3 linked regions of the Kluyveromyces lactis genome follow. The protein of the gene in region 1 interacts with the protein of each later gene in a pairwise test. Links are inferred from orthologs where the notes say so. Each region holds a gene or a part of one and is shown in the gene's direction. Other genes may lie near its edges.

Region 1 (4,126 bases):
CAGGCTATTGAGACTAATAAATGGGATAATTCAATTACATGTACGACATCAGTCATCGGTCTTTGCAACGTTCAGGATCAGAGCAGGAATTATAGCTTTGGAACGATCAATCGTAGAGTGGAAGGATGATCAAATGGCAACCCAATGCGGCATATGCTCTCAGCCGTTTGGACTCTTGATGCGGAAACATCATTGTAGATTATGCGGTCAGATCGTGTGCGATAGACAAGAAACTCGATGTTCCAGCGATATTCCAGTCCTGAACCTGATGAGTGCGGCCCCAGACCTTTCCTTCGAGAATGTCGGGAACTTAAAAGCAATATCAGACCTTTCTACAGGAGTTAGAATTTGTTCCTCCTGTCTGAGGTATGTCTTTGCAAAGCGTAAGCTCCAATTTAGTAAGGCATTGAAACTACCGGAAATTTTACAACAGTACGAAAATCTCCACAACCTCGAAACGCTTGTAGTAAATTTACTCCCCAGATTCCAGAAAGCATTAGATTCGATACATAATGCACCCGCTTCAGATGAGACTGCGATTCAAAACCTAGCACAATTAAGAAGAAAGCTATTACAAAATTTAACGCTTTATGACAAATTATCAAAAAGCATTGTTCAGTTGGATACAAAATCAACAGCAGAGAAGAAAATACAACAGTCAATTGCCCTACATGCATCAGCGTTCATCGAGGAGAAAATGCTACCCTTGAAAAAAATACCAGAAATCTTGAACCCTGTGTCACAGAAAGTAGAAGTCACAACATCATCGGATCTTTTGTTCAATAATTTAACAATTGCGGAAGTAAAGAAGTACAGAGAAGAACTTATGGTTTTGAATGAACAACGATACTTAGTCGAAAATATGCTTAATTCAGCTGCCAAGGAAAGGCGCTTCGAGGAAGCGATATCCTTGAAAACTAATCTTTCAGAAATTGATCAGAACATAGTGCATTTAGAAAGTAAGCTAGGTGATGAAGGCTTTTAAAATTATTATTTAACACTCAATTAGGTGTATATTCTATTGAACCATATAAACACTCTTCTATCACAAGCACGATAATATAAATGCAACCAAAACTCTATCCGTTTCGCTCTGTAACTTATTGTCGAGATGCCAGTATGAGAAAGCCCTTTGAATAAAAAAAAAATCCTGTGAAATGTTAATTCTACCAAAGTCATCGAACAAAAGTTCTGTTGAAATCACGTCACAGCGACAGCAAGAACTTTACGCACCGACTTTGAACCTATCCAATCGTCAAATAACATAATGAACGTATGTGTACGCTTTTAAGTGGTCGAGAGTTTTCGAGAATACTAACAGAAAGCCTTGCTTTTATGGATTGAATTTGTGTTTAGAATGAATGGAGATCAAGCTTGAATGAAATTAACAGTATGGCGTGGACCGGGATTGACGTATTCCCTGATAAAGCCAAGAAACTTGATTCTAGTATTAAGAGGAATACGGGTTTCATTAAGAAGTTGAAGCAGGGTATTGCAAAGGAATCGAAGACAGGTTTACTCAACGATATCAGAGAGGTATCTTTGGAGAAGTACCTATCAGAAATCATAACAACTACAAATGAAGCATTATTTAAGAATAGTGGTAAGGGTGATGATATTGTTGCAGTGGTGGAGATAGTAAGTGGGTTGCACCAGCGGTTCAATATGGATTTTACGTTACCCTTGATAGAATCGTTCCTTTTCATATTTGAGACGTCTTCTGATGAGGCCGAAACTGAAAAGGATAAAACCACCAGAACCAATGTTTTGAAAGCTTGCACTCGTGTACTTATTGAATTACATTTGACTGGGGTGCTGCCGAGTTTAGATGATCTTAACAAGAGTAAATTGCCTCCTTTTGTTGTAAAAAGATACTCCAAAAAGGAACCAATCGTGTTTATAGTATTAAGAGAGGTGTTAAATTATAAGTTCAAGGAGGCTTTAACAACACCAGTAGCAATTTTGATCTTAAAGAAGTATCCTGAATTACTCTCTGAAGAAGTATCTGATATGGACAATTTAATCAACAGCGAGGAGTTGAAAACTCTTTTGAGATCGTTATTCAAAATCTACAAAGATATTGTGTTCCAACAGACGGTGGAATTGAATAAGAAAACCATTAAGCTTATGAAGGAACATCATAAAGCACAAATACGAACTGGTAAGGAATCCAGTGAATATCTTGATGATTTTAATGAGCTTAATCCAATTTTTGAAAAGTTCTCTACGGTTGCAACGGCGCTAGCGGAAGCCTTTAACGTGGATCCACCAGAACTTTTAGATATAGAACAAAGTTTAAAAGAGCAGGAGCCATCCATAATTACGCCTGCATCTGACTGGAAGGAGAAGCAAGAGCCAATTTGGGAGAACGAAGAAAACAGGAGGTTTTATGAGAATCTGGCTGATTTAAGTGCCGCCTATGCTACTTATGACCCAGAAAAAACACCAAGTCCAGAAGACGTTATAGCATTATTTGCTGATTTTGAGACAGTAGAGACTAAAGATGAAATAGATGAAATTTCACGTCGTTACTGGTTGCAAAATCTTGATAACAAAGCGACAAGAAAGAGACTCATGAAGTTTTTCGTGGAATGTAAAGACTGGAGTAAAATCTCTTTATATGCAAGGTTCATGGCAAACAACGAGAATTATCTTTCTGAAGTTAAAGAAGAACTAATTCAATACCTTGACTCAGGTTTCAGATCGCAGTTGCATTCTAATAAAATCAATATTAAGAATATCATTTTTTTCGCGGAGATGGTTAAATTTATGTTAATACCATCATTCATGATTTTCCATAAAATTAGGACATTGGCGATGAATATTACAGTTCCAAATAATATCGAAATCTTGTCGACCTTGTTTGAAAGTTTCGGCAAGTTCTTGATCAATACGCCAGAATTCAAGCCCCAAATGGAGAAGATGATGGTATTAATCAAAGAAAAGAAGAAGGACCATTTATTAACCGTTAACAATAAAGCTGCATTGGACAATCTGATTATATTGATATACCCGCCTCAGCTCAACGTACTCAACCAGGAAAAAAGAGATCTTTCACCTGAACAACTTTTCTTTATTACTTTGATCCGTCGGGAATTAGATAATGTTTCACTCAATTCGGCCCTAAAACTAATTCTAAAAGCTTCGTGGAATGACCCAAATGTGGAGAAAACATTACTATCACTGTTCAGCAAACCTGAAAAAGTAAGCTATCAATCTCTACCGAAACTTGCTAATATTTTAACGTATTTGTTCAAGCACTACAAGAGCTTTACGATCAAAACAGTAGATACTTTGCTTGAGAAGATTCAGGTAGGGCTTGAATCGGGAGAATATAGTCTAAACATGGCCAGAGTCTCACAAGTAAAGTACCTAACAGAGCTATACAATACTTCATTCCTTAAGTTTGAAGTCCTTTTGGATACGATGTATCGAATTCTCCGTTTCGGTTATCCTAGTGGGCAGCCTAATCCTTTCTTCATCAATGAAGGAGACTTACCTGACAACTACTTCAGAATATCATTGATTTCAACAATCTTATTGGGCATAAACCGTAAGTCTGAATTTGCATTGAAGAAACTAAAGATATTCATTCAATTTTTCGAGTATTACATCTTCTGTAAGGATCAGCCTTTACCGAATGAAGTTTCATTCAAAGTTGAAAATGTCTTTGCGTTATACCCTGACCACTCGAGGTCATCGGATTGGTCTCAGTGCTATGAAAAACTTATCTTGCTTTTGAAGGAGCTGGGGGTGACTTCTGCCGAAGCCATGACTAGTACTGGTAGAGGCGAGAATGAAGATGTAGATGATGATGATGAAGACGATGATGATGATGAAGACGATGATGATGATGATGAGAATGATGATGAGAATGATGATGAAGATGAGGACGAGGAAGAAGTTGATACAGCACATGGAACTATACGAGTCCTTGACAACATTGAAATTGATTTGGGACTAAACGAAGCTCAACTAGAACTCAGTGATATATCTTCCTTATCTGATGGCTCAGCTACTGATGATAGTTCTGATTCGGATAATGGCGATGAACAGGATATGAATGATTCATTAGAGAGTAGTGCAGAAGAAGTCAGTGACGACGACGAGGATGAAGAAAATGATG
Region 2 (3,213 bases), about 810 kb from region 1:
TGTCAACCAGAAGTTTTTCTGATTTGTCTGATTCTAACCTTAATATTAGATGAGCCAGGTACAATGTTTCAAGAGACCATGATTTCCGTTTGTTGATTTTTCTTGTCACGTGATCGATAAAGTCACTTGAAGACTTGCCTCGACATATATCCATAAACACTCTTTGGGGTTTACATACAGTGTTTCGCCTAATCCCAACCTCCGAATGCGCTTGCTAACGATATGGACACCTTTCTGCTATTGTGTATGATGAACCATACTTTTACAGCTTCCTCAGTAAGAAGCCCCAAACATCAACTAATCAAAGTCACGTGCCGGAAAAATTTTCTCTCATTTTCGATTTTCCCCGGCATTTCTTCGTCTGCACCAATCTCATCGAGCATGAATCGGATCCTCATTCGTTGGCTCTCTCGAGAAATATTTCAATTTCGTTGATTTCAATTTGCAGTAACTTTCTTCTTTCCATGCACTTTATTTCAACTTCTGGGGTTAGCGATTGCTTATGTTCCATTGATTCTTAGTTCATAGCAGGATCGTACACAGAATCACGTATTAACTAACTCGAGAAAAATGTCTAACACTGAAAGAACTTTCATTGCTATCAAGCCAGATGGTGTTCAAAGAGGTTTGATCTCTAAGATCTTAGCTCGTTTTGAAGACAGAGGTTACAAATTGGTTGGTATTAAGTTGGTTACTCCAACCGAAGCTTTGTTGAAGGAGCACTACGCTGACTTGGTTTCCAAGCCATTCTTCCCATCTCTATTGTCTTACATGACTTCTGGTCCAGTTTTAGCTACTGTCTGGGAAGGTAAGGATGTTGTTAAGCAAGGTCGTGCTATCTTGGGTGCTACCAACCCATTGCAATCTGCTCCAGGTACCATCAGAGGTGACTTTGCCATTGAAGTTGGTAGAAATGTCTGTCACGGTTCTGACTCTGTTGAATCTGCTGAAAAGGAAATCGGCTTGTGGTTCAAGAAGGAAGAACTTATTGACTACAAGTTGAACCAATTGTCTTGGATCTACGAATAAATGTAACGTTGACAAATTGTTCACTTTATCAATACATATTCTTTCCCACAATTATTCCATATTTAAAGATGTCTTTTCTTATATGATGTGTATCTGTGTGTCGGTATTTATTACTATGTAGATATATCTCAAATACACACATTTTGAAATCCATTAAGCTTTATACTGCGATGTTGTATTCATATTTGTAACCCCGACTTGCGTTGGGTATATTCACGTTTCTACCAGCTTACTGATACGATTACGGTTCAATTTGCATTTATGTTTGTCATAGTATTATTTTACTTAATTGCACTAAAAAATTTCAGTTAGCACATCTGTTCTTCATCACAAATGCATCCCTAACGAAAACATGAGCTGTTATCACAATACCTCAGACAAGATCCTTCAGTAAAACTGCGTTCTTTCACGAATGCTCTCTAAGAAAAGAAATAGAAGGAGGTACCGGAAGAGGAGTGCTGACTCTTCCCGTGAATTCAAATTATGTATTCGATCTTTACCACCAAATTTAACAGAAGAGCAATTCATCAGCACTTTACAAGAGAACAACATCGATGTGCATTCATTTCAAAAATCATTCTACTACGTGCAAGGTCATTACTCCAGCAAGGTGTTCAAGAAACAGACTTTGTCTAGGGCATATATCCAATTGGACTCCTTCGAAACCATTCAATCGTTGTCAAAAACAATAAGAACATGCAGATTCATAGATGATTTGGATAACTCGATGATTCCAGATTTACAAATCTCGCCGTTCGTTAAGAAGTGGGTCAGTCCCAACGAGGTTAATCCTATTCAAGGCACGATTCAAAAGGACCATGTCTTTCAAACCTTTGTCAAATCATGGAAATTGATTAATGAAGATGAAACCAACTCATTACAGTTCAAGAATTTAAGTGTTATTGCACCTTTAAGAAAGGAATTAGAACGTGAAGAAAAAATGGAAGAAGAGTTAAACGGACGTAAGCAAAGAGCACTAATAGAATTGGCTGGTGATCCAACAAGCGAAGAAAAGAAGAAGAGGATCAAAAAGATTAAGAAAAAGTTAAGACTATTAGAGAAGAAGAGGAAGCTGAAACGTGCTAAGGCAAAGAACAAGGATAATCCGGACGAGAAAGATGTTTCTAAGGATAAATCAGAAGTTGAGAAGCCCAAAAAGTCTAAATCCAAACACAAATCCAAATCCAAATCTAAACCTAAATCGAAATCTGAACCGAAATCATCGAAATTTGACACTGCGACAACTGAGAAGAGTGCGGTAACATCCGAAGAAAAGCCAAAGAAGAAGATTTTGTTGAAACCAAAGAAAGATGATGTTCCCAAACCAGAGATGCCTGCAGATTCGGAGGTAACGAAGAGAGCAAGACGTAAAAAATCAAAGAAACATAAAGACAAAGACAAGGATGTAAAGAAGGATTTAACAAGCAAAGAAACAAAGGAAACTCCCTCTAAAGTTACTCCTAAGGTAAAAATAAAGTCTAAATCTGCCAATGTGGAGGAAATGAAATCGGAGAAGCGTAAGCAGGAAAACACTAAGCCAGAAAAAAATCCATCAAGTGAATCAGATAAGAAAGCTAAATCAAAGAGAAAAAGTAGAAAAGGAAGGCAGTCTGATGGACCTAAACACAAAGACAAACCAACTTAATATGCAGACATCGCACCAATGGATGGCATCTCGATATTTTGGCTTAGTTCTCTTTTACGTGCCCTTTCATTTATTCAAATGTGCAGAATATTATTTCTGATCTCTGACACTTGATATTTAAAGGGAGTGTGACAGGACTTTTTAATATTAGCAGCTTTGTGGACTAACAACAAATTCATTTTGCAAACTCAACTAAGGATTATTACACACGCATATCACTCGCCATAATTTTCATCGATCGATGGTGAATATTAGAACTACAGAATTAGAAGGAGATTTAGCACAGTTGACCTATGAACTTGGGTTGAAGGATAAGGAAGTCATGACTTTAAAGCAAAGTCTGGAACGCCTCAATGCTGAAGTCGAGAAGCTAAGAAACGAGAACAGAGGCTTGAAAAGCGAATTGGAACATTGGAATAAACTACCGATGAGTCCAATATCTTTGTCTTCAGAAAACGATCAAACTGAGGACGATAAAAACCGAATGATTCAAGAGAATTTGCGGAGAGAGATTCTTTCCTTGAAGAATGAAAGTAATA
Region 3 (4,362 bases), on another chromosome or scaffold:
GTGCCATTGTGGTTGTCCCAATGAAAGAGGCTCCATATTTGAGAGATCAGTGCAGGACCCCTTTTGCTCTACTTTTTACAATGATGATCAAGAACCACTCGAGATACACAGTCGTGCAGAAGATTCACTGTATGAATTGAATCCATTGCAGGAGGAAACGCTGTACTATAAGATTCCCAGTGATAATGAAGAAGAGTTTCAGGAGGTAGAGCTTGGAGGGAACCCATTCCGTTCGAATATGATGCGTGGAGATACTTCTTTGAAGGGGAAAATTGGATCACCATCAAAGTGTGGTTGTGTGGTATGTTCGAACTGCCACGGGCTAAGGAAACCTAGATCGAAATCGTCCGCTTCTTACAATGGATACAGTTTCTCGCTAGATTCAAACCCAGTCTCAAGGACAAACAGTATAGTCATTCCATTGTCTAAACAACCCACAAGACAGAGCATTGCTTCTTCTGTTGGATGTCTAGATACAAACAATACCATAAATAATAACAGTCTCTCTTTTGGATCCCCAACTAATATCACTGACGAGGGCGCAATAGATCCTAAATCTTCCAATGGATCAAGATCGTCCATTAGCTTATCTACAAATGCCATTCCAACACACTTATACAGCTTGGAGAGATACGTAAGTTCTGAATTGGATTCAGCGACGGAATCCTTCTTTGATAAGTCAAAACAATTGTCAGACGAAGCTTCAACTCATGGAACAGAAGACACCGTCTCTTCATCGTTGGCAAAAATGTCATTACGAACTTCACCTCAAAGTTCAAATAGCACAATTGCCAATCCAAACACCTACACTAATAGAACCATACCAGAAATACCGTCAGGAACTCAATCAATTAACCAATATTCATCTTCACATCCACCACCATTTTTGGACGCAAGAAAAAGAAGAAAGTCTTTCATTGAACAGGCTTTATCAGAGAGTTTCTCATAATAAAATTCACAACCCCAGTCTTCAACCACCCTCAGTTACCCCAATCATAATCATCAGTATACCCTCATGCATCAAATATATAAACGTAATAGGACATAGACTGTCACCTAATCACTATTTAATTACCCGACTTTTGCATGCATTTGCTGATTCTTTTTTTTTTTTTTCAGTTTGTGTACTTCACATCTCATCTCACATCTCATCAGAAAATGCATCAACTTCCATACATAAAAGTATTTAATCATAATATGCTTCAACAGTTATTATTTCCTATATCACTTTATCTGTATTTTCAAGAAGTTCTGTAAATTGAGCATCTATCAATGTGCTGAGTAACATATTTTGATTTGTGACTCTGACTCATTTCTTGCGAACTTTTTTTTTTGGTTAGTTCGATCTATTCTGTTCAAAGCTATTCTTTGAAGTAGATTGTACACGACTGGTGCCTTTATTATCTCAGTACAATTAGAATCAAGTTTCCTTATGACGATGCGTTTGCCAAATGAACCGTTTGATTCAGATTCGGACTCAAACGAATCTGTTTCTTTGAGAGACGATGACGACAAAAACTTTTTCTACGATACTGATGAGATGCTGGACGAGGAATACTCTGAGTTCCACGGCACTGCTGCTAATACAGATCCTATTGCGGAACATGCTTGTGCATATTGTGGTATTGATAATACTTCATGTGTTGTCAAGTGTAACATTTGCAGCAAATGGTTTTGTAATTCGAAAAATGGTACTAATAGTTCCCATATTGTGAACCATTTAGTTTTATCCCATCATTCTTCAGTTTCATTACATCCAGACTCAGAGCTAGGAGATACTACTTTGGAATGCTACAATTGTGGACGTACTAATGTGTTTGTTCTTGGTTTTGTTCCGGCTAAGAGTGAGGCTGTTGTGGTCTTGTTGTGCAGATTGCCTTGTGCTAAAATGAAGAATGTTAATTGGGATACAGATAACTGGCAACCACTTATTGAAGAAAGGAAGATGCTATCTTGGGTGGCAGAAGAACCAAGTGAAGAAGATCAGTTGAAGGCCAGGATGATTACTCCATCTCAAATTACGAAATTGGAAGCAAGATGGAAATCAAACAAAAACGCTACAATTATGGATATTGATATGGTCGAACAAGATGAAGATATTCCTCCGACTTTGATGAGATACACTGATGCTTATCAGTACCAAAGATCATTTGGTCCTTTGATTCAGTTAGAAGCAGATTATGATAAGCAATTAAAGGAATCACAGGCCTTAGAACACATCTCTGTCACATGGGATTTAGCATTGAACAACAGACATCTAGCTACTTTTGCATTATCCACATTCGAATCTAACGAATTAAAAGTTGCCGTTGGTGATGAGATGATTTTAAAGTATAGTGGTCCACAACATGCAGATTGGACAGGAAAAGGTTTCATCATCCAGCTACCAAACAGTTTCAAAGATGAATTTACTCTTGAATTGAAACCAAGTCAAAAAACTCCACCAACTAATTGTACTACAGGATTTACAGCAGTTTTTGTATGGAGGGGAACTTCTTATATTAGAATGCAAGAAGCGTTAAGAAAATTTGCTGTCACCAAAAAATCATTATCAGGGTTCTTGTATTATAAGATATTGGGCCAAGAGGTTCCAGATGTGGAATTTGATGTAGAATTACCCAAAAGCATTTTTGTGCCTCACTTCACCGAGTTAAACCAATCTCAAAGTAATGCTGTGAAGCATGTTTTACAAAGACCTTTATCATTGATCCAGGGACCTCCTGGTACCGGTAAAACCGTCACTTCAGCTACCATTGTTTATCATTTGTCTAAAATCCACAAACAGCGTGTTTTAGTTTGTGCACCATCTAACGTTGCAGTGGATCATCTTGCTGCCAAGTTGCACAGTATGGGTTTAAAGGTAGTACGATTAACTGCTAAAAGTAGAGAAGATGTGGAGAGCTCAGTGTCCGAGTTAGCATTGCATAACTTGGTCAGCAGGTCTGCAGAAGGTAAACTCAAAAAACTTCTCAATCTTAAGGAAAAAACAGGGGAACTTTCCTCATCGGATACCACGAAATTTGTGAAGTTAGTGAGAAAATCAGAAGCTACCATCATTCAAAAAGCTGATGTTATTTGCTGTACTTGCGTCGGCGCTGGTGATAAAAGATTGGACTATAAGTTCCGCACAGTATTGATCGATGAAAGTACTCAAGCGTCAGAACCTGAATGTTTGATCCCTATCGTCAAGGGAGCCAAACAAGTTGTTCTAGTTGGTGATCATCAGCAACTTGGTCCTGTCATTTTAGATAGAAAAGCTGGTGACGCTGGTTTGAAACAATCTTTGTTTGAAAGATTAATTTCCTTGGGTCACATTCCTATTAGATTGGAAGTCCAATATAGAATGAATCCACAATTAAGCGAATTCCCAAGCAACATGTTCTACGAAGGTAGTTTACAGAATGGTGTCACCATCGAGCAACGTACTATTGCAAGATCTACCTTTCCATGGCCAATTCATACTATCCCTATGATGTTTTGGGCTAACTATGGTCGTGAAGAGATCTCAGGCAATGGTACTTCCTACTTGAACAGAATTGAAGCCATGAACTGTGAAAAGATCATTACAAGACTATTCAAAGATGGTGTCAAACCAGAACAGATTGGTGTTATAACTCCTTATGAGGGGCAGAGAGCATATGTTGTACAATATATGCAAATGAATGGTTCGATGGAAAAATCATTGTACATGGGCGTTGAAGTGGCATCAGTAGATGCTTTCCAAGGTAGAGAAAAAGACTATATTATTTTGTCTTGTGTCCGTGCCAATGAGAGAAACACCATTGGTTTCTTGAGTGACCCACGTCGTCTAAATGTTGCGTTGACTCGTGCTAAATACGGTCTAATAATATTGGGTAACCCAAGGGCACTATCTCGCAATAGCTTATGGAGTCATCTACTACTTCATTTCAGAGAAAAGGGTTGTCTTGTTGAAGGGTTTTTGGATAATTTACAACTCTGCACAGTCCAATTGACGAAACCTTCTAGGGCACCCAGGAAAGCCCCATCCAACAACAGTAGTTATACACAATATGCTGGTCAGAGAGACTTTGACACTCAAAGTTTGGTCTCATTCGGTGGCCAAAACGTCGTTGAAAAATCTTTTATTCCAAACACGGACTTGTCTTCGTTATTGAACCAACAATATTGGAATGGACAGTCTTTTGATACACAATCGCGCTTAAGTGCTACGCATCCTGTTAACCAATACGATAAAGACGCGGTCAATTTTGATGGAAGTTTATCCAATGGCTTAAGGAAGTACAATGGAGTGGGCTCAAAGTATCAAACCATTGATGAAGAATCAACGTTAAACATACTCAAGAGTTTGGACATCAATTGAACATGAACGCGTATCAATCC

What was found.
Region 2: the proteins of NMD2 (region 1) and UPF3 interact in binary tests that used the Saccharomyces cerevisiae proteins (3 or more experiments, as listed by UniProt). The link is inferred for Kluyveromyces lactis from reciprocal best matches to the Saccharomyces cerevisiae genes NMD2 and UPF3.
Region 3: the proteins of NMD2 (region 1) and NAM7 interact in a two-hybrid assay, tested with the Saccharomyces cerevisiae proteins (8 studies listed by BioGRID, with this or other methods). The link is inferred for Kluyveromyces lactis from reciprocal best matches to the Saccharomyces cerevisiae genes NMD2 and NAM7.

What each region holds. Positions count from the first base shown.
Region 1 is NC_006040.1:1,125,414-1,129,539, reverse strand, and holds the start of NMD2 (Nmd2p), read left to right. Parts: upstream 1-1,267; coding exon 1,268-1,273; intron 1,274-1,356; coding exon 1,357-4,126. Other genes in the region: PEP7 (phosphatidylinositol-3-phosphate binding protein), read left to right, coding at 1-985. UniProt on the Saccharomyces cerevisiae protein: Involved in nonsense-mediated decay of mRNAs containing premature stop codons. It interacts, via its C-terminus, with NAM7/UPF1.
Region 2 is NC_006040.1:317,284-320,496, forward strand, and holds UPF3 (Upf3p), read left to right. Parts: upstream 1-1,441; coding exon 1,442-2,674; downstream 2,675-3,213. Other genes in the region: YNK1 (nucleoside diphosphate kinase), read left to right, coding at 571-1,029; KLLA0_D03740g (uncharacterized protein), read left to right, coding at 2,916-3,213. UniProt on the Saccharomyces cerevisiae protein: Involved in nonsense-mediated decay of mRNAs containing premature stop codons.
Region 3 is NC_006038.1:566,476-570,837, forward strand, and holds NAM7 (ATP-dependent RNA helicase NAM7), read left to right. Parts: upstream 1-1,432; coding exon 1,433-4,342; downstream 4,343-4,362. Other genes in the region: MBR1 (Mbr1p), read left to right, coding at 1-949. UniProt on the Saccharomyces cerevisiae protein: RNA-dependent helicase required for nonsense-mediated decay (NMD) of aberrant mRNAs containing premature stop codons and modulates the expression level of normal mRNAs. Also capable of unwinding double-stranded DNA and translocating on single-stranded DNA.